Linked DNA regions of Callithrix jacchus. The main gene of each other region encodes a partner of the protein of the gene in region 2 in a complex. Links are inferred from orthologs where the notes say so. Each region holds a gene or a part of one and is shown on either strand. Other genes may lie near its edges.

Region 1 (3,528 bases), on a different chromosome or scaffold from region 2:
GTTGCGTTGGGCCGCTAGCCCTGCACTGAGAACTGGAGGGTGGACCTCAGCTCCCCGGGTCGCCGGGGCTGGACACAGGCAGCAGCGGGACTTGTGTGGCCCGTTGTTTTTGCAGGTGCCCGTGAAGCATGTGTACCGCGTGCTTCAGTGCCAGGAGGAGGAGCTCACACAGATGGTGTCCACCATGTCAGACGGCTGGAAGTTTGAGCAGGTGAGGCCCCTGCCAGGCTGACGGCAGCCACGCTGCAGCTGGACTTTTACTCACACTGGCTTAGGGCTCAGTGCCCCTGGAAATGTGGGCTTCGCTGCTGGTGTCCTTCTGCAGTTCTGGGGGTGCTCACGACAGTGTCCTGTGTCCTGTTCCCACTGGAAGAGCCATGGGAGTTTGGGCGGGGTGGGCAGAGGTGTCTCAGGCCCTGCCCCACACCCTCCCCTCCTCCCCGGCCTGCCGTTTGCAGCCCTTCTCACTCAGCCTCTTCTTCCCACACTGCACTTTCTGTGTATCACCTGGCACCTCTGTGTGTCGGGGGGATTGGCGTCCCCAGAGCCTCGTGGCCGGCCTACCACCCAACGCAGCCCCGTCCCCTGCAGCTCACTCCAGTGGAACAGATGGATGCTCTGACGCCCTTCTCAAGCTGCCTCCCCTTCCTGTCTTCGCAGGAAGGCACTGCCAGGTCCCTGTTGCCTTCTCACTCTGGTTTGGCTGAGCTACGGCATGTGGGGCTGAGGGATCTGTGCAGGGCTCGCCTTCTCCGGCAGCTTCCATAGGAGCCACTGTGCTGTGGCACTGTGGCCTGTCGTCGTTGGGGACCTCAGGACATGTGAGGATGACCTCTGACTGGGGGCCCATGCCCACGATCTGGGTGCCACTGTTCCTACTGTTGCTGATGCTAGGCAGACAGGGTGGGGACAGTGACAGTGTCCTCTGTCACTTGCTTCTGTCTAGGGCAGGTTCTGTCCATGGCCCCGTGGCCCTCCAAGGCTGTGGGAGGGACAGGCTCAGCTAGTGTCCCTTTCCTTTGAGTCTTTCAAAATAATATAACACATTGTAGGGTACTTGGAGCGCCCCTTAAAATGTCACTAAAGACATTTGCGTCCCACCATCCATGCTGGCCCCCCAGGCTTGGTGACTGGGTGTTTGTGCTGATGGAGCAGCTCGCTGGCCCGGGCTGCCCTGCACTGGGGGCCACATCTTTCTCATGCTCTGACCGCATCAGAATCGTGCCAGAGCCTCACACAGGAACGGAAATCGCTCCTGCCCAGCGAGCCCCACCTCCCAGTTGTCCCTTGGTGGGGCTGGGTACCTGGGAAGCCATGTCATCAGTTCGGGGACCGAGAACACCTGTGCTCTTCTGCCACTACCTTGTGACTTTCCTAGCTGGGAGGGAGCGAGATCTCCTGCCCGTGGTGGTCACCTGCCCCTCCCCGGGGCAGCTCAGATCTTTGTCCTCAGTGCTTCTGGGTGGAGCTGGTGTCCTCCCCCTTCCTTATGACCCACATGACAGACTTCATCCCTCCTGGTTCATGTAGAGAAGCCGCTGGGCTGACCAGCTGCCCTGGCTGTGGGCGGGACCCTGGGGGGTCCTGGGAGGTGGCCAGACCGGACCCAGGGTCTCCAGTGGTCATTGGGACTGCGAGCAAGGCTTGAAAGTGGCCGACGTGCCTGTCAGGATGCAGGGGCTCAGTGGCCGTGGCCGTGAGTGCTCCCAAGTGGGTACTCCTAGCTGCTTGGCCCCATGCCAGCACCTCTGTGGCTGCCTCACTGGGCTGGGTCCACTGTCAGCAGCCACACAGGAACAGCAGGTAGCCCCAGGCCCCCTTCCTGGCCATTGGTCCGACCATGCAGGTCATAGGTAGGGAGGCCAAAGTGTGAGCACCAACCAGCTGCTTTTTGGCTCGGTCATTTGCTGCTGGCCTGCTTACCATGATTTGCATATTGCCTTTTAATTTTCCCTTCAATAGCACAGAAGTGCCCTGTGGCCTGGGGTAGCCACCCATGGGTCAGATGCCTCGCCAGAGAGGGGTCGGCCCTGGGCCTGCATGGCCTGGCCTGCCTGGTGACACAGAGGGAGGCAGGTTAGAGTGGCCTGAGGTGTGCCCAGCCGGCTGCAGCAGACCCACCCTGGCTGAACTCCGGACAGCACAGCTCCTCGGCGGCTTTTGGTCCTGTCAGCCAAGTCCCCTGCTCTTCCCTCCAGGTTTTCAGAGCTGCCCTCCACTCCCCTCCCGCTGCCCCTCTCCCTCCGACCCAGCTCAGGGACCCTTCTGCGTTCCCTCTCCATTGGCAGCGGCCCCTGTTTGCCCGTCTAGAAGTGCCAAGGAAAGCCTGGTGTCCCCGCAGAGGAGGACCTGGCTTGTGCCCCGCCCCGGTGTGGGTGCCGTTGTGTGTGCTCATGCGGGTGTTCCAGGAAGTGGTTTTCCATTGGTTTCCTCAAGTGTCGGCGGTCTTCTCTGTGGCTTTTGCGGTGGCAGGCGCGTCCTGAGCCTGGATGTGTCAGCTGGGCCACGTCCCTCTCAGGCCTCACTGGGCTGCATCTCGGGCTGTGTCTCCCTTGCAGCTGGTCAGCATCGGCTCCTCTTACAACTATGGGAATGAAGACCAAGCGGAGTTCCTCTGCGTGGTGTCCAAGGAGCTGCACAACACCCCGTACGGTACAGCCAGCGAGCCCAGCGAGAAGGCCAAGGTCAGTGCTGGGGCGGCCTGGCGGATGGGGAAGGTTCCTGCCCTCTCTCAGCTTCCTCTGTTCCTGCCGTTTTCATCAAGCCCCTGTCTCCGCCCCTGGTGACCTTGCTGACTTTTCGGAGGCATGGTCTTCCGTGGGACGAGGCCTCTAGACCCAGGCTCCCAGTAAGCCCCTGCGGGAATGCCACTGAGGGCTGTGTCTCAGGGGACCCAGAGTCCTATGTTCCCAGGGCACAGCCTCTGGTGTGTGAGGACTTGGGACATTGTGGCCTGGCTGTCATGGTGGGTGTCTGGGCCCATCCCTGAGTTCAGGGATGTGGGGGTCCGGCTGTTGTGTGGTGGGAGTCTGAGCCATTCCTGAGTGCCAGGTGGGCCCCCTGGCTCAGCCAGTGCCGGCCCTGGGATTCTCAGGCTGCACAGAGTGGGGCCCTGTGTGGCACCCAGCCTGGCAGCACCGGCATAGACTCTGCGGGGGCTCAGGCCCGTCTATTTTCTGAGGGCTGGGCAGCTGGGGTGAAATACAGGGATCCCTGCCTTGTTTACTTTTAGAATGGCCCCATGGCCCTGCCCACGGGTGACCCATTCTGGTGGCATTTTCTCTGGGTATGTTCTAAAGGTTGAGGCTCCAAGATGGACAGATGCATCCATGTGAGCAGATTCCAGCCTTGGCCTGGGCCAGCTCTACCTGGCAGGACTCCCAGACCCCAGAGCCACGTGGTGGCTGGAGAGCCCTTGGTGGCCTGCTCTCTGGGAACTCCTGGGGTCTGCATGGGTCTGGGAGAGCCTGGATGGTGGGGCCAGCTCTGTGGGCAGCCAGCCTGGGGTGTGAGCCCTGGGCTCACCAG
Region 2 (4,049 bases):
AAAACAGGAAGATGACAAACTTTAGTAGGCACTCACATACTCCCTTGCAGAGTCAGAAACCCAAACATAACAGCACTTGGGCAAGTAGGTAAATGAGGAAGTACAGTTCATAATAAATGGACAGCAAAACCATGAGTCAGATTAGACATTTTGAATATAAAATGATCAAACCCCTCTCCCCCAAAACCCAAAACTTTTCAAATATACAGCAACTGTATCAGACAGTAATTTTGGCTTTAAAAACCTACAGTACTCTTGGTAATAGTAGAAATGACTCATCTGGTTGGTTAAAGTTAGGTTTCTATCATTCCATTTAACATCATTTACCAAATGCTGCATTTCATTAATGGAGCTGTTATTTTTTTCTGATAGTAATGAAAAACAGGTTTTAACATTAATAAGCCCGGGGTCCACCAGAAAATATCAGTGAATCAAGAGGTCCCGAAGCTTTTGCAGTTTAAGGGAACTTTGTAGATTAAATTTCCACCCTCCAGTCCTGAGAGCTGTTGTGTGGACACCCAGTCCGAATACCTTGTTGAGCATACAGGACAGTAATTTCCGATCATGCAGGTAACTCCTGCACAAACTCTTCGTTCTAGTTGCTGGCTTCTGCTCAAGTACCCATCCCTAGTCCATATGCCCTAGAAAAACATAGGAACCAGTTCGGGACGTAGTTATCCATCTAGCACCCCACGCTCCTCCTCAAGACTAAATCTTGCCCCAGCCCAGTAAGGCCCAGCCCACTACAATCCTGCTCCTGCTCTCCAAACTTCCCCCGCCCACTCCCCCCACGTGACCAGGAACCCCCCTCCCCCCCAACCCCACTTGAAGTTCCACCAATCAGCAACCACCTCCGCCCAGAACCGGGGACCTGGCGCTCCTCTTTCAAAAGGCAGCTTAAACCTCCCGCTCTTAGCCACGCCCTCTTTTCGCTACCCCGCCCCGCCGGCCCCTACCACTCCCCCCAACTCCCCATTCCCCTCCTCCCCTCTGGTGGCGTCCTCCCGCTCCCGGGTTTCGCCCCGCCCCACAAGGAGTAGCGCGCTCGCCCTCTTCTCGCGAGATCTGAGCGTCCCCGCCGCGGCCGCCCGCTTCCCCCTCCCGTCCTCCCACCTCCCTCCCCCCGCATCTCTCACTCTCCGGCTCTCCTCCCTCCCTCCTCCCCCCTCCACCCTCTGGGCCGGATCTCGTCTCGCTCAGGCGGAGGAGGAGAAGGAGGAGGAGGAGGACGACGTTCGGCCTGCGCAGTGAGATGTTTGTCCGTCGCCGCCGCCGCCGCCATCGCGGAGGAGCGCGATAAAGGGAGCGAAGCCGGGCCTGAGGGGGACCCCGTGGAGCAGCCGCGCCAGCGCAGCCCCCCAGCCGCGTCGGAGCCGCCGGAGCCCGAGCCGCCGCCGTCCCCGCCGCCGCCGCGGCTGCTCAGGGGCCGGCCAGCTCCCTAGCCCTGCCCGGGTCCGCTCCGCCACCGCCCCCAGCGTCGCCCCTCGCCTGCCCGCCCGCCTTAAATGTGACACCGGCGCCGCGGAGCGCGACCTGAAGCCGCCGCCGGGTAGGGGACGAGCACCATGTCGAATCTGAGCAAAGGCACGGGCAGCCGGAAGGACACCAAGATGCGGATCCGGGCCTTTCCGGTGAGTCTCTCCCCGGCGTCCGGGACCCCGGGGCCGGGGGCCGAGCCGAGAGCCGCACGCGAGGCCCGGGCTGAACTCCCCCAACAGGCCGCAGGCCCGGCCTCCCCTCCCCCACGCCCGCCGGCCGCGAGGCGCGAGCCTTCCCAGCAACCGGGCGGCGCGGGGCCCCGGCGCGGCCGCCCTCCCGGGCCGTTCCCCGCGCCGGGAGCCCGGGCCTGGCCCCGCGCCCCCGTCTGCGAGCTGCTTCTCCAGCCGCCTCGTGGGCGTTGGCTGCGGCCGGAGCCCCTCGGCCGCCCCACGCCTCCCCACGTTGCCGGGGTGTAGGGCCAGTCTCCGGCTTTGCTGGCTGCGGCGGAGTCCTCCCTGTGTGGGGCATGTGTGCAACTTTTCACGTGGGGTTTCGCTGCACTTTCCAAAATAACCCAGTCTAGCTTTTAGGGTGATGAAAGGGCTGCCCTCTCTGTCCCCCTCCCCAGGAAGGGCTCTGCCCTCAACTTGCCTCCGACGCAGTGACAGTGGTTGCACGGAATGCTCTGTGATCATAAACTAGTAACATGGGGTGTATTTCATCCCGCAAGCCTCCTAAGCACTTTACAAACTCTTGTGCAGGATTGCCTCGCCACTCCGAGGAAGGCCGGGGGAAAGCCACAGGGAGCAAACCGGGCAATTGGTTCTCCATTTCTCAGCCTTGGGAGCCCAAAGAATGAGCTTAGTCGCCTTGTGGAGTTGCTTTCTTTCATCGGTTTCAGTGACAGCAAACGCGTTCTGCTCAGAAACTTACTTTTTTGGCATTAGGTTGAGTCGTACCCTTTCAGTGTTTAGGACATAGGGTATAACTTTGGGTGTCATATCTGATTCAGATACCTGATGGCAAGCAATTAAAATGTACTCTTGTTAACAAACTGGACATACTTGCCCATGTTGCTACAATAAAAGGCATACATCAAGACAGACCAACTAGCAATCGGACAGAAGATTTTAAAAAGTAAAATTAGAGAAAGATCTTGGTCTTCCCGTCTTAGATTCGCAAATACTTCATATGATGTGCAGGCATAAGAGAGGGATTTATTGTCACTTTTTAAAGCATGCTTTTCCTGAAGTGCCCTTGTAGTGGGGAAAAGACTTGTTATCTAAATATGATTGCCCCAGTTGAGTCAAGTAATTTAGTCCCAGAGAACCTGAGGACCTCTGAATTCCTAAAATTGAAAAGGATACACCTGATGTAGAATTCTGAAATGCAAGAACATTAATACTAAAGTCAGTGTGAGGAAGCTTCTGCTTTCTGTAAATAGGTACGATGTATTTGGGAGAATTAAGTGTTTTTGATAATAAAGGCTTTTTGAATGTTTCAAACTTTTTTCTAAGTAAACGTGAGAAATTACATCAGGAAGTCAGCAGTGTTGACAGAGTACTAACGAAGTTCACTAGTATGTTTTCCTTTATAATTGGGCAAAGAGCTGGCTTTATGAATTTGTGAGTAATATTAATAATTTTCCTGCTAAATTCTGACCATTTTAAAGTAGAGTTTAGAATTTAGAATTTTATGAAGTTAATAGTTTTGTACAACAGATTTTCTAGGAGTGTTTGCGGTCCTACACTCCTCATTCTTGAATTCGAAAGTTCTAAAGATTTTTTTCTAAAACGTGGAGTAACTCACATTTGACATCGACTCACTCAGGTTAATGGCCTTCTGATTGACCAGTTGTACTTCCATCTGTGTTTAATCAAACTCTTTGATGTCTACAGGTTTCCCTGATCTTACCTGTTTTGCCATCATTTCATTTGTTCAACAAATACTGAATATTATGTGCCAGGCGGTCTTGTGAGGGTTTGTCAGTATAGCTAAAAAGACCAAGATCCCTGCCTTCTGGAGCTAGTATTGTTGAGGAGAAGAGATGGGAGAGAATTTCATATTCCTTTAGCTGACCAGTATAATAAAATTGTGTGATAGCTTACCACGTAGTACTGGAACTGAATTTTTTTTTTTTTTTTAGCTTCGTTTATGGTTATGAGCTAATTTGGGCCTATTCTGTCTATAACTTCTCTTTCAGGTTATATGTAAGTGACTAGTTTTGATATTCAGTAGTTAATAGCTGTTGATTTCTAAAATTTTTCATTACTGTTTAATAAGTATTAATAACATTCATAAGTGGTTCCCATTGAAAATAACAATTCTAGTTTGGCCGGGCGTCTGTGGCTCACGTCTGTAATCCCAGCATTTGGGGAGGCCGAAGCAGGCAGATCATGAAGTCAGGAGATCGAGACCATCCTGACCAACACGGTGAAATCCCATCTCTACTAAAATACAAAAAATTAGCCGGGCATGGTGGTGGGTGCCTATAGTCCTAGCTACTGGGGAGGCTGAGGCAGGAGAATTGCTTGAACCCAGGAGGCAGAGGTGGTGCCATTGCACTCTAG
Region 3 (3,528 bases), on a different chromosome or scaffold from region 2:
ACCAGCATCTGCAGCCATCAAAATGTTGTAGGCTTTAGTTGTCTGCCAGTGCCCAAGCTGAGCTGTCTCCTTCATGGTTAGGATTTATTGTTTAGAAAAAACAGCAACATTCTGTTTATAACTCAGAGCATTTGTGTTTTCTGCTGAAGCTAAAATACTCATTTATTCTTTCCTAGAGGAGAAAAGAAAAAGAGAACAATTAAAAACAAGAAAAGCAAAATTAGATATTCTAAATTTCTTAAGCATTTTTCACAAAGAGACTAGGCAATTTTTTTCCTTAAAGAAAATCACCTTTTTTTTTTTTTTTTTTTTGAGACACCAGGATCCCTGTCACCCTGGCTGGAATGCAGTGATGTGATCACAGCTCACTGCAGCCTCACCCGCCCAGGCTAAATAAAGCCATCCTCCCACCTCAGCCTTCTAAGTAGCAGCTGGGAACATAGGTGCATACCACCATGCCTGGCTAGTTTTTTATTTTTTTTGTAGGCGGGGGGGGGGCGGTCTCACCATGTTGCTCAGGCTGGTCTTGAACTCTTGAACTCCTGGGCTCAAGCAGTCCTCTTGCTTCAGCCCCCTAAAATGGTGAAGTCCTGAGACACCATGCCTGGCCAAAAATCATTATTAATTAAAAATGCCAGAGAAGCCTTTTATCTAGACTTTGATGTTTTCTACACTGCAACTATCTCTTGGGAAATGGGAAAAGGGAGAGGGAGGACCTTTGTTATTGTCTCTCTGGTGATATAATTGGGAAACTAAGGCTGGGCATGGTAAAGACCCAGTCTTTACAAATAAAAACAAATTGGAAAACCGAATTGCCAAGTGATTCTGTGGCTTGGTAGAAGGCTGCAGGTGAGACTGCTGCGTTCCTCCTGACTTGTAACGTTGTGTCCTTTTCACTAGACAGCCTCTGGAGAGCCTATGTTGCTACTTGTCATGTTTCTTAGGATCAGCTGTCAAGGACAGATGTAGTTGCTGATCAGCCTGGCTTCTGTATTAAGTAGTCGGTAATTTTGTAGCTATTGATGAGAGTTCTGAGGCACTTAGTTTTTTTGCCCTGACCTGGTGGTTCAAAGGTGTGGGGGCGGGTACCAGGGAGGAGGGGCTGTGTGAAAGTCAGAGCTGCTCTTTTCCCTGGTTTTATCCAGTCTGAGTCTCCCAAGGAGATATTTGGGAGGAGGAGGCGAGTGTGGCTGGATCTAAATATATCTCTTCCCAGCCATTTTGAAAACTGTTTTACCAACTTGTGCTTTTTCCGAAACAGTTTTTTCTCTTTGTTACCAAATTATGCAGGTAGAGGTAGACATTTCTGGGCAGCCTCGCCTAATGGTGTTAGTGGGGGCGGTGTCATCACTTATCTTTCTTTCTTTCAGACCGGAACATGAACATTTTGCAGTACTGCCCCTCTTCTGACATCTGGACCCTCTTTGAAACTTGTGACGTCCACATTCGCAAGCAGCAGATGGTGTCTGTGGAGGAGACCATCTATATCGTGGGGGGGTGTCTCCACGAGCTGGGGCCCAACCGCAGGAGCAGCCAGAGTGAGGACATGCTCACCGTGCAGTCCTACAACACCGTCACCCGGCAGTGGCTCTACCTCAAGGAGAACACGTCCAAATCGGGTCTTAACTTGACTTGTGCACTCCATAACGATGGCATCTACATCATGAGCAGAGACGTCACCCTGTCGACCAGCTTGGAACACCGAGTGTTCCTCAAGTACAACATCTTTTCAGATAGTTGGGAAGCATTTCGGCGTTTTCCAGCTTTTGGACATAACTTGCTGGTGTCTTCTCTTTATCTGCCCAATAAAGCAGAAACATGACTGAATTGAATTCGTAGATGAAAGAAACTGGTTCAAGATTTTTTTTAAAAACGTAGTGTCCCATTGCAAGGGAGACTGATTCCTAAAGGGTAAAGAAGGGTTAAAATAGGTCACATATATACAGTAGCAGCTGTAAATAAGCTTACTTGAACTAATTACTTGAAAACTTGTGGAAAAAAGAGACCAACTTTGTTATTTTTAAAATTATTGATTTTTAAATTATGGGAGCAAATCTATCTCCAGACATGATACTCTTGGGCCAATGACGGATCATCAAAATATAGATTCATTGTGACTGCATGGTAAAGGGCCAAAGTCAATAATTGGAACAAATGGTAAAGATGATTTTTAAAATCTGTTGTATTTAGGTCCCTTTACATATCATTAGCACCTTATGTGAGAGATTTTCTTTTTCTTGCCAGTATACTTGACAAGCATTCGTATTAACATATTCATTCCCTCTTCTCCGTCAAGCATACCCACACATACATCTAGTATGTTTAAAATAGGGTTCTGTGTTCAGATATTTTGTTTGCACTCTACTTCTTAGGAAACTTACAATGATGGAGCCCTACAATGAATCCTTGCTAGTGTTCAGTCCTCCTCAAAACTTGCATAAAAACATTCTCAGCCATTTTTCCAGCCTTCTTTGCAGGTACAAATGCTGGATTAATAGATTGATACAACCTCTTATTTTATTTATGTGGCAGATTACATATTTATGTGGCCACATAGGTTGCATTGCTAGGTGTTCTGTATTTTAAAGAGGATATATTATTTAGAAAAATGAATATATGAATATTTTAAAAAATTGAGTCTTAAATTTAAATGGGAAGGGAAGAAAACACCAAATAAGACATAAATTTGCCTTTGAGAGTTACTTTTATTGAATGTATTTGACTTAGTTCTTATTTCAAGACTTAAAAAAAGTTTACCATATTTAAGTCAGGCAACTAATTTAATCTTAGCTTTGTAATTAATGTTTTGCTTTTGTGGACTAAGGTAAGGACAGCATTTAAACATAGGTGCTGGAGTAAGGAAGAAGCCCTTACAGAAGTGGAATGGCTTCTGGTAGTATTTTTGAAGTTAGGTAAAGTGCTTTACTTGCCTTGGTTGTGAATTGAAATAGAATGCAGCTCAAGCAGTTGTTTTCACTGAGGGAGTTAACAATAAAAGTTTCTGCCAATCAGATCAGCATTCTTCAAAAATATATATACTCATACTTACAGAACTTTTATTTTGAGTGAAAAACGCTCTAAAATTATCTGATATTTTGTAATCCAATCAGTTCAACTGTGAGCTGGATTCCATCATTCTGCAATAACAGCAGGCAGAACCATTTCAGTTAGTGTGTGCCTCACTTTAAGAAAATCCTGTTGGGGGAAAATCACTGTCAGCAAATTCATGCATTCCGCAAACACTTATTGAGTGCCTGCAATATGCCGTCCACTATGCAGATGTAGGACGGGGCTAATTACTTAGAGTTTTTCAGTTTATTCTAGGAGTCACTACAGGGTTTCTTTACAACCATGGCCTCTAGTATACTTAAAATAAGGGTCCACTTATAAAAAGCCTCTTTGCACAACTTTTTGGGAATACTTCTATTAAGTTAAATGAGGTAAGCCATTATTTTGGACATAGAAACAGATCTTTGTATCTTGTCACCAAATAATCTTATCTCTAGTCTACTTATAACTTTGTAAGGG
Region 4 (4,308 bases), on a different chromosome or scaffold from region 2:
AGTTATGAGTAACAAAAATTAAGTCAATTTCATCCATCCAGAAATGTGCAGACAGGACATTCACAAAGAGGAAATTATAAGCGCATATGGGAATGCATAAACCCCTGTCATGAGGAAATACCACTTCTTGTTAATTTGCATGGGGTTATAGTATTTTGAGTTCTAAATTTCTCAGCAGACCTAGGGGACAGAACTGAATTGTTTTTCAAAATTCTTTCTCTTTCTCAATAACAATTTAAATTCCAAGATCCTTTATCAAGAAGTTCAACTGTTTAATCTTTTCAGTGCTAGAAGATTTATGCACACGGGCTAACTATATGCCTACTAGACATTCTTGCCATTCACTGATACTTCCTTACATTTTAACAGTCTAGAAGTAACATTACCAATGTTAGCTCATTTGCACCTTAATCTTTAAAATATTAAGCATCTATAATGTGCCAGGCACCCCATCAGATGTTAGAAACACAAGATGAGTAAATCAAAATTTTGATTTTCTTTCCAAAGGGTTGCAGCCTATGAAGTCCATAGAATACGTATTACTATCACTTCACGTTACAGGTGAAGGATCTAAGTGGTTAAGGATTGAAAGGTCTTATGTCAGTTCTCACATATAGTGACTAAAGAGCCAGGGCTTCAGTAATCATCCCTGGCCCCGGGCTCAGGGCTCTCCGGTATTTTTTTCAAAGGAATTCCCAGAATACTTAGTATTGCATCCCTCCATTTTCCAAGAGCAAAAAGGAAAGCATCTGGGATCCCTCTATAATGTTCACGTGCGGAACAGGTGTTCTCTGGGTGCGCTAGAAAAGCAAGGCACGAGTGGGAGTTAAATATCCTAAACAACCGCTCTAACCAGACCAAGTTAATCTGTGGAAACCAGAGTACCGGGCCAAGGCGATGCTATTTCAATTGGGTGTCACAGGTGACTCATCAGAGACGCCTTGCTTTTGGGCCTTCCGATATTTTTCTTCAGGGTGGGGCGTCATATTTCCTTTGCATTTTTGGACAACAGCCCTCCTGTACATTTCCAAATTTTTCAGGTTTTACAGCTCTCACGCAGAGCTTGATTGCATACCGGAAGCCAGTCAGTGGCAGGAAGTTTACGGAAGAAGAAAAAGGTAAAAAAATGAGCCGGGGGCCAGGAGAGAGGCCTAAAATGGGGACATTCGCACTTGAAGAGCTTTCCCTACCCCAGCCCCTCAGAATGACAGTTCTCCTCCGCCAGAAGACTACCTCTCCCGGCAGGCACTGCGCGCTCGACGGCCACAGGCTGGCTAGCTCCCTGCTCTCCACCTCCGCCCGTATCTGCCAATAGGAATTCCCGGGTTGGGCCTCCGCCCAAGTCTGACCACGCGGGAGCGGGGGCAATCAAACTACATTACCCGTCACGCATATGCTCGCGTCGAGACCAATCAGTGCCAGAAATTCGTAGGCTAGGGGCGGAGCCAAATGCACAGTACACCCCATTGGCTAGGGGAAGCTTAGAAGAGCCGGAACCCGGGAGCTGGAGAAGCGAAATGACATTTCCTCTTTAAATAGCTGGAGCCGGGGCCCCATCGAGAAATGGCCGCGTCGGCAGGTGGGTTGTGTGGTGGCCAGGGCGGCGTGGAGGGAGTTGAGGGGGAAGGTTGGCCGGGGCCGGCCATAGGCGGTGGGATGAAGAGGTAGCGGTGTGGAGCCGGAGGGAAGGATGAGGAGGTAGAGGGGAATGAGGGGAGGATGAATGGTGCGGAGGGCGGTGGGCGGTCCGGCGGGACAGGGATGGGGAGGCTGGGTACCCGCCGTCGCTGCGACCCGGGAGGCAGCGGGAGGCGGCTTGAGGGGGCACCGGCGGTCGCCGTCGGTTGAGCTTCCTTCGTGAGGCTCTGCCCTCGGCTCTCGGCGGAGTTCTCGCAGACGCCTCACATGGGCTGCGAGCGCGTTCCCTCCGCGAGCACGGGCGCCGGGCTCGCCGGGCTCCGCAGGAGCAGGCTGGCCTTTGAACTTGTTCCGCCGATGGCGCTCCGCCCTCTGTCTCCTAGATCCTAAACTCGCGGTCCCACGAGGTCGTGCGTATATCCACAGACATATATGTATATATATATCTTTGTAGCGGGGAAAAAGCCAAGCAAGCAAACACACAAACAAAAAAAAATCCCGCGACGCCGTAACTGGCTCGGCACTTCTTGTGGTTGTACGATTTTTCTCCTCCTAGATTTAAGTAAATCTTCCCCAACACCGAATGGGATTCCATCTACAGACCCAGCCAGCGATGCCATGGACCCCTTCCATGCTTGCAGTATTCTTAAGCAACTCAAAACAATGTACGATGAAGGACAGTTGACAGACATTGTAGTGGAAGTGGATCACGGGAAAACATTTTCCTGTCATAGAAACGTTCTTGCTGCAATCAGCCCTTACTTCAGGTATGATGATGGTAGGAACTTGTGTCGGTATCTGCACCAAGCTCCCTTCCCCCCTCAGTATTGTCCACTTGATGTTTATACTGAGATGCAATAATGAAATGAAACCAATGGCTTTGTTTCTTGAGACTAGAAAACGGGTCCTCTCTTTTTAAGACCTTATTTTGACTTGAGGGATTCTTCTAGCGTTGAATTTTAAGTTACTGGGTCGGTGTGTGTGTTTGAGGTAATCTAGACTTGTGCTGGTCAGTATGGCAGCCAGTAGCCATGCGTGGCTGTTTAAACTTAAATTATAAGTTAAATAAAATGAAACATGTAGTTCCTCGGGTCCCCAAGTACACTAAACACTTTTTTTTTTTTTTTTTTTTTTTTTTGCGACAGAGTCTCGCTCTATCGCCAGGCTGGAGTGCAGTGGCGCAATCCCGGTTCACTACTTCCGTTTTCCGGTTTCAAGCAATTCTTTCTCAGGGCTCCGAGTTGCTGGAGCTATAGGCAGGCACCACCACGCCCAGCTAATTTTTTGTATTTTTAATAGAGACGGGGTTTCACTGTGCTGGCCAGGATGATCTCCATCTCTTGACCTCGTGATTCGCCCGCCGCAACCTCCCAATGCGCTGGGATTAAGGCGTGAGCCACCGTGTGGGGCCACTAAACATGTTTTCGGTGCTTGGTGGTCACCCGCAGCTAGTGGCCGCCATATTAAACAGCACAGAGATACAACATTTTCATCACTGGCAGTTATACTGGACAGTGCTGATCTAGAATTATTTTCAACAAGTTATCCATAACGCATGTTTCTTTAGTACATGGGACTCTTTTATAAAAGGGTTTAAAACATAGTAGTGTGTTCCTTTAAAAACAAATTACCATTTGATAGATTGTTTTAATGCTTTGGGGGTCAAAGCAGTGGAATAAAAAATGAGTAAAATATAGTCTCTACGTGCCTAAGTCCCCAAATTAACAATTTTCAATATTTCTAGACGTATGCTAAACTGTTTTTATTTTTACTTTTATTGTTTAAACTTTTAAAAATAAAATTTAAAAACTGGGGGCTGAAAAATAACTTCCTACTTTAAAATTAGTGGGAAAGGCAGTTTACTGTGTGTGTTTAACTTCTTTTGTGCTACCTGCTCACTTGAAGCTTTTCCGTATTCACAAGTGGTGCATAAATAATAGTAAAGTGTTCAACCGCACTCTGAATGTGATTTTTCCTTTTGAAAGTGCTTACCTATATAGGGAACATAGCCGTATAATGTTCCAACAGTAGTTTCTGGTTCCTCTTTCTCAGAATACTGGGTTAAATATAGTCATTTCAGTTTGATGCTTGTGATGTAACCATTTAGACTTGCCTAGGCTAGGTCATTGGACTACTAAGTATTAATCATTGCAATACGGAAAAAAAAAAAATAAAACCCACGTATGCAGAAGGTATGAAGTTTGGCCTGGTAATGGAAACTTCTGGTGAGATTCACTTACACAGATTATCTATTAGATATGGTTAGGTCATTTGTATGTTTAAATATACGTTACAATTACTACTTATCAAGCTTACTTTACATGTATTGCCTTATATAATCTTTATAATCCTATTTCTGCACAGTTGTTGTTCCATTTGACTTAGGAAGAAGCTGAGGCTCAGTGAGATTAAGTTTTAATAACACGCCTAAATCATCTATCCAACAAGCAAATGGCCGAGGCTACATTTGATTCCAGAGCCAGGCTTCTTAGTCAACATGTGACTCTTAAGAAACAAGAGTGGGTACAGTGGGTCCTTTTTAAAGTTTCCTGTAAAACATTTTTACTATATGTTACATTTGAATGGTTAAGAAAAACTGCAAAGTGAAAATGTCTATATCTTACTGAAGTTTAATAACCCAGATTATATCATTTAAATGTTATCCTTATT
Region 5 (4,098 bases), about 120 Mb from region 2:
AGGCAATCCAGGAAAGGGGTTGGAACCTGCTGTAGGGAAGGGGCTGACTTCCATCACCTGGGGATGGATACTGATTGATAACTCCTGCTGGGATGCTGTTACTGAAAGCTGTGGATGCTTAAGTTCTCCCTCCTCCCTCCTCCCCTACACCTCCCCCCTCTTCCCCTAGCTTGTTCCAACTAAGTGTTTCCTGGTGGGGAAAATGCCTTTCAACAGCCTTGGCTGACTGAGGCAATTAAATTATGAAATTCACCACATTAGATGAAAACCAGCATCTCAATCAGCCAATTCATTTGTGTCTGGCCACTCTGTTTTCTTGTGCCAGCTCTGCCCACAATGGCCAGGCTATGCCTACACTGCTTGCTGGTACAAAGTGACTATGGGCTCAGACAATGGGCTGGTCTTTGGGACTAGAAGGGTAGATTCTCCCAGGAACCCCCGAGAAGACACGATGCATCCATAAGCCATCAAGTTTCCTGCAAATGCCCTGGACTGCTGACCGTGCGGCCAGCACTATAGACAGAGCAAACCTTCCACCACCTTCCACTTGCATTTTCCAAGACTTCAACCTGTGCCTATCTTGAGGTTGCCAATTGAGGTCGTCAATGCCTCTGGGAGAAGCATGGGTGAGCAACAGGAGAAAGGAATCTGGAATCTGGGCTGTGGCTCGCCTTTCGCTTCTTAGTCAAAGCATCTTCTCTCCAGGAAGCCTTGCCCACCTGTGTCTTCTCCGCTGCTATTGCTACCTCTATCACTAAGATGTGTCAGGGCCCCAATCCATGTGCCAGCACCCCCTCATCTAGGTGCTCACTAAAAGTAGAGTCTCCAGCACCTAACCCAGGGCCTGGCACACAGCAAGTGCCCAATCAAGTCTGCTCAAACAATTAATGAATAAATGAATCAGTAACTAACCACCCACTAAATAACACTCTCACTCATCCTACCCTTACCCCCTGCCCCTACCCAAGTGATAGATGGGAAGAACCAAGCTTGCTTTCACTGGGTAATTGTTCTTTTCTTCCTGCTCTCTTCTGCCCACACGGGGTACCCACAGATTTAAAATGCCATTAAAGGGCATCCGGCTGCAGAACCTGCCTTCGATGTGGAGCATACAACTTGCCCGCAGCTCTTCTTTCCACACCACACACATAAATCCAACTGCAGCCCGAGACCTAGGATGAAGGTGTCTTCCATTTCTACCTCGCTTTTATCAACCTCCCTGGAGTCACTGCCTGACAAATGACTCAAAACCGAAATAGCTACCGGACCTGAAAAAGACTGACTCCACCAACCTTCACAGGCACAGCTTGTGGACCCAAGGGCCCCCGGTCTTAGGACACCAAGTGGACCCTGAGGTGGTGTCACTTTGTGTCCTACTCTTCCCTAGACACCAAAGCAAGCCTTCACCAACACCCCAGGAAAGCTCACAGCTCAGATCGGCATACTGAGCATCAGTTCTCCGTATGAATGGGAAGAGTGGGGCCCAGGGTCCAAAGGGCTTGGCCTCATCACAGTCACTGGAATCTGCTCCAGAATACAGACCGTGGGATCCTGCCTCCTCTTCTTGTGTCACTAACTTCCTTCCCTCCCTCCCTCTATTGCACCGACAGAGTGAAACCAAATGGTCCAGACACCTGGCATTCTCTGCCCTGATTACCGGGGAGTCAAAGCCCAGCCTGCCTTCCCCAAGGTCAAAACCACCAGGATCCAGCAGGAACCAAGAGCGTCCAGATTAAACCTGCAGGGGCCTGGGTCCGCCCCCTCACCCACAGTCCGTTGGGTCAGGCCTCTGGAGAGATTTTTCTTTGTTCAAAGACAATGGGAATAGACTTCGGGGGCTTTAGAGCAGGAACACAAAAAAAGTATCTGGTGTCTCCAGGACACCATCCGCAAAAGAAAAGCTTCTAAAGCAACTATGAAGGAGTCGAGGTGGGGTGGGGGGAGTGGGGGCGTAACACCGCGCGGTGGTGTATCGGAGCCAGGGCGAGCGTGGGAAGAAGAGTCAGGATGGAGGGCTTGCTCTGGACCTGCCAGGCTGGCCTCCACCCAGGTGGACAGGTGGGTGTGCCTTCGGGAGTGCGACCTTTCTCTGCCGCTGGACAGTTCTGCAAACCGAAACAAGGGACCCCGGCAGGCGGAAAGTGAACGGCCCGGGGCTCCGGGGCCAGGCCCGCGCAGACCCTTCCCTTGGGAACCCCAGGCCCTCGCTCTGCGAAGGGCAGGCAAGGCCTGGGCGTCCGGGGCGCGGGGCTTTGCCGCCCGCATCCTCAAAGACAAGCAGTGTTTCTTTCCAGGATCAATAGTAATTTTTTAAAAAGAGAGTCTGCGGACTCAATGAATCAACCACTCCCCGGGGAAAGAGTAGCGGCTTCCGCGAGCAACATCCATTTGCCAAACAATTCATTCCCCGGCGCAGGGCTCTCGGCGAATTCCCTCGCGGGGCCGCGGGGTGCCGGCCGGCCGCCGCCCCCACGCCTGTCCCAGGGCCCCCGCCCCAACCGCGCTCGCTCCTCCCGGGACACGCAGCACCGCGGGGGCTCGGAGCGCTCGGTCCCGGCCCGGCCCGAGGCGGCGAGTCCCCAGCGCAGGGAGCGGGCGCGCGGGTGCAGCGGCCAAAGCACGGCGTCCCCGCCCGGCCCGGGTACTCACCGCCGCAGTCACTCCCCGCCGCCGCTGCCGCCGCCACCTCAGAGACCACCCCCGGCCCCCCGCGCGAGCTCTGCAGGCCCCGCCGCCGCTCGCGTCGACCAGCTCGCCACAACCCAAACGCTCCCGCTGCGGTACCGCCGAGGCGCAGCCAACAAACTAGTTTCTCCGGCCTTCCCGCCCCGCCTCCCGGCCTGAAGCGCAGCAGCCAATCAGAGGCAACGCCTCTGTGACGGATGGGCGGTTGAACCCGTCAGTGCAGCCGCAGAGAACAAAGGGGTGGGCGTCCAGGCCGCGCCGGCACCGCGCCGGAGGGAGGCCGGGGCGGGGTGGGGAAAGGAAAAAGACTTTAACCAGATTCTTAAAGAGACAGGCGCCTTCCCGCCCCCGCGGCCCGAGTTTGGGAACGAAGCGCGACGGCGTCCTAGAGCTTTCCGGAGGGAGCGTTGTAGATGGCATGTGCCTCTTACTTTTGTATTCGGGTCACAAGTGCTTAGGTGTCTTTAGACTCCGCGGAGCCATACTTGTAGTGCCAGAGTGTTAATGAAACCCTTTCTTTCACTCCGGGCTTGTTGAATGTTTGGGACTTTCTGCAGTCCCTAAATCCCACCTGTACTTGAAATCTGTATTTTTCGGGGTATTTCAGACCTCCTCTCTGTGTCATTTCTCACTAAACTTCTTTTGTAAGCCAGCCTTTAAATGTTCATTCATTCATCTATCCATCCAATAATTTCTTCCAGGAACGTTTCCTGGACGCCCAGAGGATGCTCTCGTCTAGGAGGGGAAGAACTGTGTGTGATTCCTCCTTTTCCCTCCTGACTGCTACTTCAACTTGCTGTATGTGTCCAATCTCGTCTGTAAAGTGGCAGAAAAAAAAAAAAAACTCCTCATCGGATTATTTGGGGGATTAAAGGAGACAAACTCCCAGACAAAATGAGTACTCAATAAATGCCCGTTCTTTTCTCCCTCCTGATGAAATTCAAGTAGGTCGCTTAAGGATACAAAAGATGCCGGGCGCGTGGTGGCTCAGGCTTGTAATCCCAACACTGTGCAAGGCCCAGGCGGGTGGATCACGAGGTCAGGAGTTCAAGACCAGCCTGGCTAACACAGTGAAACCCCGTCTCTACTAAAAATACAAAAAAAAAAAAATTAGCTGGGTTTGGTGGCAGGCGCCTGTAATCCCAGCTACTTGGGAGGCTGAGGCAGGAGATTCACTTGAACCCGGGAGGTGGAGGTTGCAGTGAGGCAAAATCACACCACTGCACTCTGCCTGGGCGACAGCGCCAGACTCCATCTCAAAAGAAAGAAAAAAAAAAGGATACAAAAGGTAAAGCATAGAAAGTGATAAGAACATAAGAACATAAGAGGCAAGTCTGGGGCCAGGAAATGCCGAGAAGCAGAGGTCACCCTGATGGAGGTGGGAAGAGCAAAGGAAGGTTTAAGGAAGTGTAC
Region 6 (4,001 bases), on a different chromosome or scaffold from region 2:
GAATTACTTTTTTTTTTTTTTTGATACAGTCTTACTGCCACCCAGGCTGGAAGGCAGTGGCATGATCTCAGATCACTGCAACGTCCACCTCCTGGGCTCAAGCAATCCTCCCACCTCAGCCTCCTGAGTAGGTGGCACACGCTGCCACACTGGGCTAATTTATGTATTTTTTGTTGAGACAGGGTTTTGCCATGTTGCCCAGGCCGGTCCTAAACTCCTGAGCTCAAGGGATCCACCCACCTTGATCTGCCAAAGTGCTGGGATTACAGATGTGATTACTGCACCCGGCCCTGTATTTTTAGTTTCAATAAAAAGTGCTACTAGCTGTAATCATAAATCATACCAGGTCTAGAAGGGCTATTAGAAACCCCAGGACAGGAAGGGACCCCAAGAATCCTGGGGCTGCACGCCTTGGCCTCCCAGACTGGCACCACCAGGACAGAGCAGACAGGACATTCTGTCTCACAGCCCTGAGCTCTAAAGGAAGAGCAAGTTCTTGTTCTTAGGAAGTGCACTCTGCCGGCCTCCTCCCTTCCATGGAGCTGTGTGAAAGGCAGCTGAATGGAATTACCCAGCCACCTGCCTAAACCCAAGGGATTAACTGCTCTGCTGAGACATTTATGGAAGGGTGTGCAGAAAGCTGGGGCGAGTCTGAGTAGTTCTGGGAAGCAATCCTCTCCTCAAAGACATTCGTCAGACTTTGGGGAGAGGGGAGGGACACCGTCTCCAATCAACTTGGGGACAACCTCAGATTGGAAAGAGGAATCTACTGGCAGATTCCAGCAGAGGCTGGACTCAGAGCTGCAGGGCAAGGAAGCTGTGGCCAGAGCCCAGCAACTGTCACACTTGACAGCTCAGAGTCCCACTGGAACTCAGAGCACGTCCCAGAGTGGGCTCTCTGGCGAACATGTAAGGCTGGGCACAGCAACTGTGACATCCCAGTCCCCACCTCCTTGCCTGATAACTGCCTCACATGCCTGCCTGGTGGGTTCTTTCCTTATATAGCAGTTACAGAGCCCGCCCTTCCTCACCCCGGGGAAGGAGGTAGCCTCCTGTTTAAACTGGGATTTATCTTCAACAAAAACTGCAGGAGAAGCCCAAACCCAGGCGGCCTGGGACCCGCCTACCATGACTCGGCAGTGTTTTCGGGCTTGGGCCAAGTAACTGGAAGAAAACCTCTAACATGTGACCATGTTTACAGTCTCTGGGGAGGGCAGCCTAAACACCATGTGACCACAGCACAGCGCCTAGGTGCAAGCCCAAGGGAACCGTGTCACCGGTGACAAAGAGTGAGTCAGGGGGCCCGGGTGGCTCAGCAGGGAGGGCGACATTCCCCCGCTGGGGGAGAACAGATGCCTCACCACCGGGCGTCAGACTCCTGCCCTTCCCTAGATTCCCTAAGGAGAAAAAGAAAGCAGCCATTGTGCGGAGTGAATGCCCCAGTATCTTCCAACCAAGTGGGGAGGCACCTTCGGGGCACGGAGTTGGCTCAGCCTGGCACCCCGGCCTCACGGGTCACAGACTCACAAGCAATTACTTGTCCCGGCTCATACAAGCGGCGATACTTTTCAAGGGTGATACTTGAAAAGTACCGGCCAGTGCTTTGTAGTCACCCGGGCCCCAGCTTGGACTCAGGTGCGGCCCTAGGATTCCAGGGTCTGTACATTTCTTCTGCGGGTAGCTGGGCTACCGCACGGGCGAGGCTCCACCCCAAAGAGCCTGCCCAGCCCCCGGCCCACTCACCCGTCACGTATATGTCATTGCCCAGCGCCACGATGCTGTAGCCCCCGCCCAGGTGGTCTGGGAACTCGGCTAGGTAGCGCCACTGGCCCGTCTGCGGGTTGTAGCAGTCGACAGTGACCAGCTCGTCGCAGTCCTGGTCGCAGCCGCCCACGAGCACGAGGATCTCGGCGAGGCCAGTGGAGGGGCGAGGACGCATTCGGGGGCAGGGCCCGCGGTCGTGGCGGTCATAGCGCGCTGCCTGGAAGTCGCGCGCCTCGCGCAGCAGGCTCAGGCAGGGCGGGCAGCGCGCCACCAGCGGCTCAGCCTCGACGTGCGCCAGCAGGTAGAAGCGTCGCACGAAGGGCAGGCGCACGGCCTCCAGCAGCTGCGGCCAGTGCACGGCGCGGCGCGGCGGGTCAGCGCGGACCCAGCGCAGCGCCAGCTGGTAGGCTGCCTCCTCCTTGGGCACGCACAGCCCGTCGTCCCGCAGGTAGCGCAGCAGGCGCGCCAGTGGCAGCCGCTCCAGCTGCTCGGCGCCCAGCTCGCCCACGTGGCGCAGGATGAAGCGCTGCGCCGCGCTCGCCAACCCCGCGCAACTGAAGGCCTCGGCGAAGTCCTGCATATCCAGGCAGTTAGCCAGGTCCAGCTGCTGCTGCAGGAAGGCGCCACAAGCTTCCTTCACGGCCGGGAATTGCAGCAGGTCGGCGGCGCGCAGCAGCGGCTCGGCATTGTCGCCGCTCACCGCCACGCGGCCCGTGTAGCTGAAGTCCAGCAGCAGCTGCAGCATGTCGGGCGGTACTCCGTGCAGGCGCACCCGCTCGGCGCGGCTCTCGCGCAGCTGCCCGGCGAACATGGCGCGGAAGTAGGGGCTGGCTGCGGCCAGCACCGCGCGGTGCGCCGGGAAGTCGCGCCCGCCTGCTGCCTCCAGGGTCACGTCCAGGAACTTGCGCTCGGCGCGGAGCTGGCTCAGGCCGCGCAGCAGGCTGAGGGCGTGCGCGGGGTCAGAGAAGGGCAGCACGGCCAGGGGCGCCGGCCGCTCCATGGCACTTACACTCGGAACTCGGGGACACCGCGGCCGGGGCCTGCGGAGACACGCTGCGAGCCCGGCACCGCTGCTATAAATAGGGCGGGGCGCCGCGGCCCTTAGGGAAGCAGGATGGGCGTGGAGAGGCGGGGCGTCGCCGACACCGCCCCCTTAACCCCTCCGTGCCCGGCGCCACCGCCCCGAGCGCGGGCTCGCCTGCCCCCCACGCGGCGCCCGCCCCCGGCTCCGCCGGGTGAATCGCCGCGGTCCCTCCCTCCGCCCTTCCGGGTCTCCCCACGGACTCCCGTGCCGGGGACGGCGAGTGACAAGTGCCAGCTCCGTGGGCGGCCCAGCCGCGCGCCGGGACCAGGGGCCTCCCGGGGTTGCCCACGACCCACCCGGCCACTGAACCCAACCCGGAGGAGGCGAGCTCGGCCCTGAAACCGAAGCCACCCCTCCTTTCGCGCCAGACTTCCCAAGGGCGCCGGCCCAGGTCCCGGGGCGGCTGGATACAATGGCTTTTTGTTTTGCTTTTTGAGTTCCACTAGTTTCAAGGGTTGCTAGTTAACCCTGTCACGGGATACACAGGATAGGCATTTTACCATTCTGAACCAAAGCAAGAACGCGTATCAAGTTTTTCAGTGACGTTTTTTCTTGGCGCATTTAAAAGCTATCCGGGGCCGGATTCCAGGAGTCGTTCCCACCCCTGTGTTCGTGCAGGAGCTTCTAACCCAGCAACACTGGCGTTCACTTTAGTTGGCTTCAGGCGTAGTTACAGTTTTGCTGCAGGCTCCTGGGCTGCTCCTGCCAGGGGCTCCCGGGCCTCCCTGCAACAGCTGCTCAGACTCCATGAGAGAGGCCCTGGGGGATCAGAGAGCGAGGGCTCAAAGTCAGATGGGAGACCGCCTTGAAACTAGGAGATGACGCCACTCAGCACAGTCCGGTTCGCTTGTATTGAGACGGGGGAATGGTGAAAAGAAGAAATTACCCTTATTTTAGTTCCAATAGATACAGCACCACTTTGAACGTCACTGTAGGGAAAAAAGAGCCCTCCCGGCCGGGCGCGGTGGCTCACGCCTGTAATCCCAGCACTTTGGGAGGCCGAGGTGGGTGGATTACCTGAGGTCAGGAGTTCAAGACCAGCTTGGCCATCGTGGTGAAACCCCATCTAAAAAAAAAAAAAAAAAAAAAAAAAAAAAGGAGCCCTTCCTTGGTTCTTCAGAGGAAGGTAGGTTTTGGTGAGTTTTAAGAGACC
Region 7 (4,097 bases), on a different chromosome or scaffold from region 2:
GTATAGTTTGGCAGGAAGTAGCTGTGATACCGTCTTTGACATAATGGTATTTTGTGACAAAAAGTATTAGTGATTCTAATGATGGAGTCATTTCTCATTATGGTAACTAAGGGTCATCCTAATAAGAGAGTTGGTGAAAAAAGAAGTGGTAGTTTTTATATTTAGCATATTGGTAGCATTCTATTTGGGATTTTCCTCTTTTCCGGATTTGTAATTCCTTTGCCATATGTTGTAAATACTGAGTTCCAAGTAAATTTTTGCTCAGCTGGAATTTTATTTTTTTGGGTAAATGATAGGCAGCATGACTAAAGCCTGAGTTTTGTTTTTATTCCCCCTTTAGCAGTTGGCCACATCCAACATTATTTGTTTGAAATAAGCCGTTCTTCCTAATTTGAAATGCCATATTTACTTTCATCCTATCTAATTTCTTAGATACGATGAAGATAAATGCCTCGTTCGGTTAATGGGAGTTTTATAATACACTTTATATTTTCATAAAAATCTTGAAAAACTTGCCCCTTTTCTCCTCAAATACCTTGGCAACTTTTGTGCATTCTTCCAGATAAATCCCTTGGAAATAGGATTTAGATTGGATTTGTGCTAAACTTACATATTAATTTGGAGAACATTCATATTTGTGTAATATGGAGTTTTCTGGGTAGGAACACTTTTTTTTTTAAGTAAAATTATATGCTCTTATTCATAAAGATTCCTAGGAAAGAACCACTCTACAAAGAGGTAAATTGCATACACTTCTCTTATAGAATTTAATGGCAAATTTGAAAATATATAGCTTATACTTTGAAAATAAACAATTTGAATGTATTTGCCATATAGTTTAAGTAATTTCAATTAAATATGAAGACTTTGTGAAAATATTTAAAAATATATCCAGAGAATGAGAACCGCTGTGTAAGAGAGCAGGGTTTTTTTTTTTTTCTTACATATTATGATCATTTATTGTTACCAAACAAATAACTAGGAGAGCTGGCTTTGGTAATTTATTTTGAAAGAATACTTATTCACGTGTTTGTTATTTTCTACAACATGTATATTTTGTATAGAAGGCGAAAGTTAACTTGAAATTACAACTGGTAATTTTCTTCTGTTTTTCAGTTTTAAATGTAGTAGACTTAAGAATCTTCATTTTTGTCATGTTTCACTTTTATGATGTCTAAAGTTGAACTTCAAAAAATATGATTTCTATTTAAGGCTGCCATTTTAAAGATTGTATTCTAAAACTGTGCTGGCCTAGATATTACAACTGAACTTTTTTTCTTTTTAGTTACTCTGCAGGATCCACTGAACATAGGATGTTGCCACAAAGTCTACCTCGTGTATTTTTCTCTTTGACTCATGAGCTGTGCAATTGCAGATTGAGCACAATGTCTGCAGACTGTGTTGAAACACTCTGAAGAACCTATGAACACAGGATGACCTAGGAGTGATTCTAAGTCTATAACAAGATACTCCTCACTAGTGAATGTGTCAGTCTTAGTGCTGAATGCTGCAGATAACAGCAAGTAGTTTCTCCTTTATTTCTGAAGTGTTCACTTGACCTTCCATCAGTAAGACGGACTTTTCTAATCTGGCCTGGGAGATATTAATGGAATACAGTCATGTCCACTCAAGACGAGAGGCAGATTAATACTGAATATGCTGTGTCCTTGCTGGAACAGTTGAAACTGTTTTATGAGCAGCAGTTGTTCACTGACATCGTGTTGATCGTTGAGGGCACCGAATTCCCTTGTCATAAGATGGTTCTTGCAACCTGTAGCTCTTATTTCAGGTAAGTACTTTTAATGTTTTAAACAGAAATTCTTTGAAATATTATTTAATTTTTAAAAAAAGCCACATCTCAATGTTGTGCTTAAGTTTTCTATTCAGATGATGTAGTTCTTGCCAAATCTCATTCTTGCATGTGTAAGGGACATATGAAAGAAATTTTATAAAGGTTTAAATACAAGAAATGTGTTGCAATTAACTAAGGTGAAGTTTTAATGTTGGGAAGGCAGAAAGATTTAGAATATTTCTAAACAAAAATAAATGGGATAATTTACACTTTGAGATTCTAAAATGCTACCTTTAGAAAATAGTCATCTCTGTTTTTAAACTGACAAGTTATCATAGGGTCAAATAGTAGTTTTTAGAGGGTAAAAATTGGTGCTGTTAAACCTGCTAATACTTTTCTTTGGAAAATGTATTTTTCTCTTTGTTACTATTACCATTTGAGATAGTTCTTTTTACCAACTAGACTTCTTGCCAGGTTTAAATACTTAGTAACTAGTAACATTGTTGGTGTTCTCTCTTCCTCTGAACATAGTAGAAGTTAATTTAGCTCCTCATTGCTAATAACAAATGTGTAAAGCTTAACTTTACATTTCTATGATCTTTTGCATCTTTGTTGTACCTTTCCTGAGCAGAATAGAAGCCAAGGCATAGAAATTGCTTTATTTGTTCTTTGCTTTTAGGTTATTTTTGACTTAATATTGGAGAGAGGGAGAATAAACTGAATTAAATGTGGACCAGCATATTTCTATTACAAATACGAGCAGCCATAAGTAGCAGTCAGCAGTAAGTTTGGTTATGCTGTTCTTTAATGGCAGCTATAGATAGGACAGATTTCATTTGACCTTTCAAGGCTAACTTACTTGCATGAAGATACAGAAACTTCACATTCCCTACCGCATTCCATGATGATTGCAGAATCTAAGGCCCAAATACCAGTAGCCTTTGCTATGCCTACACAATTTTTTTTTAAGACAGGGTCTTAATCTCTTGCCCAGGCTGGAGTACAGTAGTGCTATCTTGGCTCACTGCAACCTCTGCTTCCCAGGTTCAGGTGATTCTCGTGCCTCAGCCTCCCAAGTACCTGGGATTACAAGCATGTGCCACCATGCCCAGCTAATTTTTTGTGTTTTTAATAGAGATAGGGTTTCACCATGTTGGCCAAGCTGGTCTCAAACTACTATCTCAAGTGACCTGCCTGCCTTGGCCTCCCAAAGTGCTGGGATTGTACGTGTGAGCCACTGTGTCCAGCCCAGTGTCTGCAATTTTTGTTTCAGGTTAAGCTGTGGATTTTTCATGCAATTTCAGGCGCTGATTTTCTTGTCTGTTAGAAAGTGTAGCCTATTTGCAAATAATTGTTCTACAGCCTCGCTGATCATGAGAATCCTCTTGTTGGGTGCTTTTACAATTGGAATATCTTGGATTTCAAACACAGAAATTCTGATTGAGTGGGTCTGGGTTATGGAATCAGAATCTATATATTTAAAAGCTTCCCAGGCTGAGTGTGGAGAGAGAGAGAGAGAGAGAGAGACCCAACTGATCCACCTCAGCCTCTCAAGGAGATATAGGCACACACCACCACTCCTGGTTCAACTCTGGGAAAATCTTTTTTTTGAGATGGAGTTTCACTCTTGCCCAGGCTAGAGTGCAGTGGTGCTTGGCTCCCTGCAACCTCCACCTCCCAGATTCAAGCGATTCTCCTGCCTCAGCCTTCTGAGTAGCTGGGAGTACTGGTATGAGCCACCACGCCCAGCTAATTTTGTATTTTTAGTAGAGACGGGGTTTCACCATGTTGGTCTGGTTGGTCTCAAACTCCAAACCTTAGGTGATCCGCCCGCATCTGCCTCTCAAAGTGCTGGGATTACAGGCATCAGGCACCGCGCTCGGCTGAGTCTGGTCTCTTAATACCCGATAGATACCCCAAGGGACAGCTGTGTATTACCTGTAAAGCAAACCAGATGTTTAGTAAATAGAATAGTTCAATATGTGTTTGAGGTTGAAGCTACCCATCATTAAAATCTTGTGCCTGGGACACTTTCATATCCACAAGAAGAAAACGCCTACGTATTTTTCCTCCCATATGCTGTATATCTTTTTCTCTGGACTGGGTAGGTTATTGTGTATTTCCACAATAATTTGAGCTTTTCCCAAGTGTTCTTCAACTAGATTCTGCTCTCAGAATTGTAGATTTCAAGATCTTTACATGTAATGGTGCTATACATCTTTACTGTCAGAGATTTTTTCTTTTGAACTAAATACATTCTTCCTTTGTAATTTGAGTTACCAATTCTGTCTATCCCACCAAGAAT

The links.
Region 1: the proteins of CUL3 (region 2) and KCTD5 are in contact, whole or in part, in a cryo-EM structure (PDB 8U83), measured with the Homo sapiens proteins. The link is inferred for Callithrix jacchus from reciprocal best matches to the Homo sapiens genes CUL3 and KCTD5. Residues at the interface, in NP_003581.1 of Homo sapiens: Thr24, Met25, Asp26, Glu27, Lys28, Tyr29, Val30, Asn31, Ser32, Ile33, Trp34, Asp35, Leu36, Leu37, Asn39, Ala40, Glu43, Asn48, Ser50, Leu52, Ser53, Glu55, Glu56, Leu57, Arg59, Asn60, Ala61, Tyr62, Thr63, Met64; in NP_061865.1 of Homo sapiens: Trp45, Phe55, Leu56, Thr58, Thr61, Arg64, Asp65, Lys67, Ser68, Pro96, Thr97, Tyr98, Phe99, Gly100, Pro101, Leu103, Asn104, Tyr105, Leu106, Arg107, His108, Gly109, Lys110, Leu111, Val112, Ile113, Asn114, Lys115, Leu117, Val122.
Region 3: CUL3 (region 2) and KLHL42 share a complex: the UniProt entries of both Homo sapiens proteins name them as parts of the BCR(KLHL42) E3 ubiquitin ligase complex. The link is inferred for Callithrix jacchus from reciprocal best matches to the Homo sapiens genes CUL3 and KLHL42.
Region 4: CUL3 (region 2) and KBTBD8 share a complex: the UniProt entries of both Homo sapiens proteins name them as parts of the BCR(KBTBD8) E3 ubiquitin ligase complex. The link is inferred for Callithrix jacchus from reciprocal best matches to the Homo sapiens genes CUL3 and KBTBD8.
Region 5: CUL3 (region 2) and KLHL25 share a complex: the UniProt entries of both Homo sapiens proteins name them as parts of the BCR(KLHL25) E3 ubiquitin ligase complex. The link is inferred for Callithrix jacchus from reciprocal best matches to the Homo sapiens genes CUL3 and KLHL25.
Region 6: CUL3 (region 2) and KLHL21 share a complex: the UniProt entries of both Homo sapiens proteins name them as parts of the BCR(KLHL21) E3 ubiquitin ligase complex. The link is inferred for Callithrix jacchus from reciprocal best matches to the Homo sapiens genes CUL3 and KLHL21.
Region 7: CUL3 (region 2) and KBTBD2 share a complex: the UniProt entries of both Homo sapiens proteins name them as parts of the BCR(KBTBD2) E3 ubiquitin ligase complex. The link is inferred for Callithrix jacchus from reciprocal best matches to the Homo sapiens genes CUL3 and KBTBD2.

What each region holds. Positions count from the first base shown.
Region 1 is NC_133513.1:4,170,739-4,174,266, reverse strand, and holds part of KCTD5 (BTB/POZ domain-containing protein KCTD5), read left to right. Parts: intron 1-115; coding exon 116-211; intron 212-2,558; coding exon 2,559-2,684; intron 2,685-3,528. UniProt on the Homo sapiens protein: Its interaction with CUL3 suggests that it may act as a substrate adapter in some E3 ligase complex. Does not affect the function of Kv channel Kv2.1/KCNB1, Kv1.2/KCNA2, Kv4.2/KCND2 and Kv3.4/KCNC4.
Region 2 is NC_133507.1:146,311,878-146,315,926, reverse strand, and holds the start of CUL3 (cullin-3), read left to right. Parts: upstream 1-1,249; 5' UTR 1,250-1,565; coding exon 1,566-1,631; intron 1,632-4,049. UniProt on the Homo sapiens protein: Core component of multiple cullin-RING-based BCR (BTB-CUL3-RBX1) E3 ubiquitin-protein ligase complexes which mediate the ubiquitination and subsequent proteasomal degradation of target proteins.
Region 3 is NC_133510.1:43,423,077-43,426,604, reverse strand, and holds part of KLHL42 (kelch-like protein 42), read left to right. Parts: intron 1-1,370; coding exon 1,371-1,822; 3' UTR 1,823-3,528. UniProt on the Homo sapiens protein: Substrate-specific adapter of a BCR (BTB-CUL3-RBX1) E3 ubiquitin-protein ligase complex required for mitotic progression and cytokinesis. The BCR(KLHL42) E3 ubiquitin ligase complex mediates the ubiquitination and subsequent degradation of KATNA1.
Region 4 is NC_133516.1:48,792,286-48,796,593, forward strand, and holds the start of KBTBD8 (kelch repeat and BTB domain-containing protein 8), read left to right. Parts: upstream 1-1,483; 5' UTR 1,484-1,563; coding exon 1,564-1,579; intron 1,580-1,778; exon of another isoform or gene 1,779-1,892; intron 1,893-2,194; coding exon 2,195-2,405; intron 2,406-2,857; exon of another isoform or gene 2,858-3,863; intron 3,864-4,308. UniProt on the Homo sapiens protein: Substrate-specific adapter of a BCR (BTB-CUL3-RBX1) E3 ubiquitin ligase complex that acts as a regulator of neural crest specification.
Region 5 is NC_133507.1:29,916,436-29,920,533, forward strand, and holds the start of KLHL25 (kelch-like protein 25), read right to left. Parts: upstream 2,803-4,098; 5' UTR 2,650-2,802; intron 1-2,649. UniProt on the Homo sapiens protein: Substrate-specific adapter of a BCR (BTB-CUL3-RBX1) E3 ubiquitin ligase complex involved in various processes, such as translation homeostasis and lipid synthesis.
Region 6 is NC_133508.1:44,496,628-44,500,628, forward strand, and holds the start of KLHL21 (kelch-like protein 21), read right to left. Parts: upstream 2,817-4,001; 5' UTR 2,765-2,816; coding exon 1,744-2,764; intron 1-1,743. UniProt on the Homo sapiens protein: Substrate-specific adapter of a BCR (BTB-CUL3-RBX1) E3 ubiquitin-protein ligase complex required for efficient chromosome alignment and cytokinesis.
Region 7 is NC_133512.1:1,770,108-1,774,204, reverse strand, and holds the start of KBTBD2 (kelch repeat and BTB domain-containing protein 2), read left to right. Parts: upstream 1-1,284; 5' UTR 1,285-1,285; coding exon of another isoform or gene 1,286-1,353; 5' UTR 1,354-1,619; coding exon 1,620-1,789; intron 1,790-4,097. Other genes in the region: uncharacterized protein LOC144578307, read left to right, coding at 1,286-1,353. UniProt on the Homo sapiens protein: Substrate-specific adapter of a BCR (BTB-CUL3-RBX1) E3 ubiquitin ligase complex that acts as a regulator of the insulin signaling pathway, modulating insulin sensitivity by limiting PIK3R1/p85alpha abundance in adipocytes.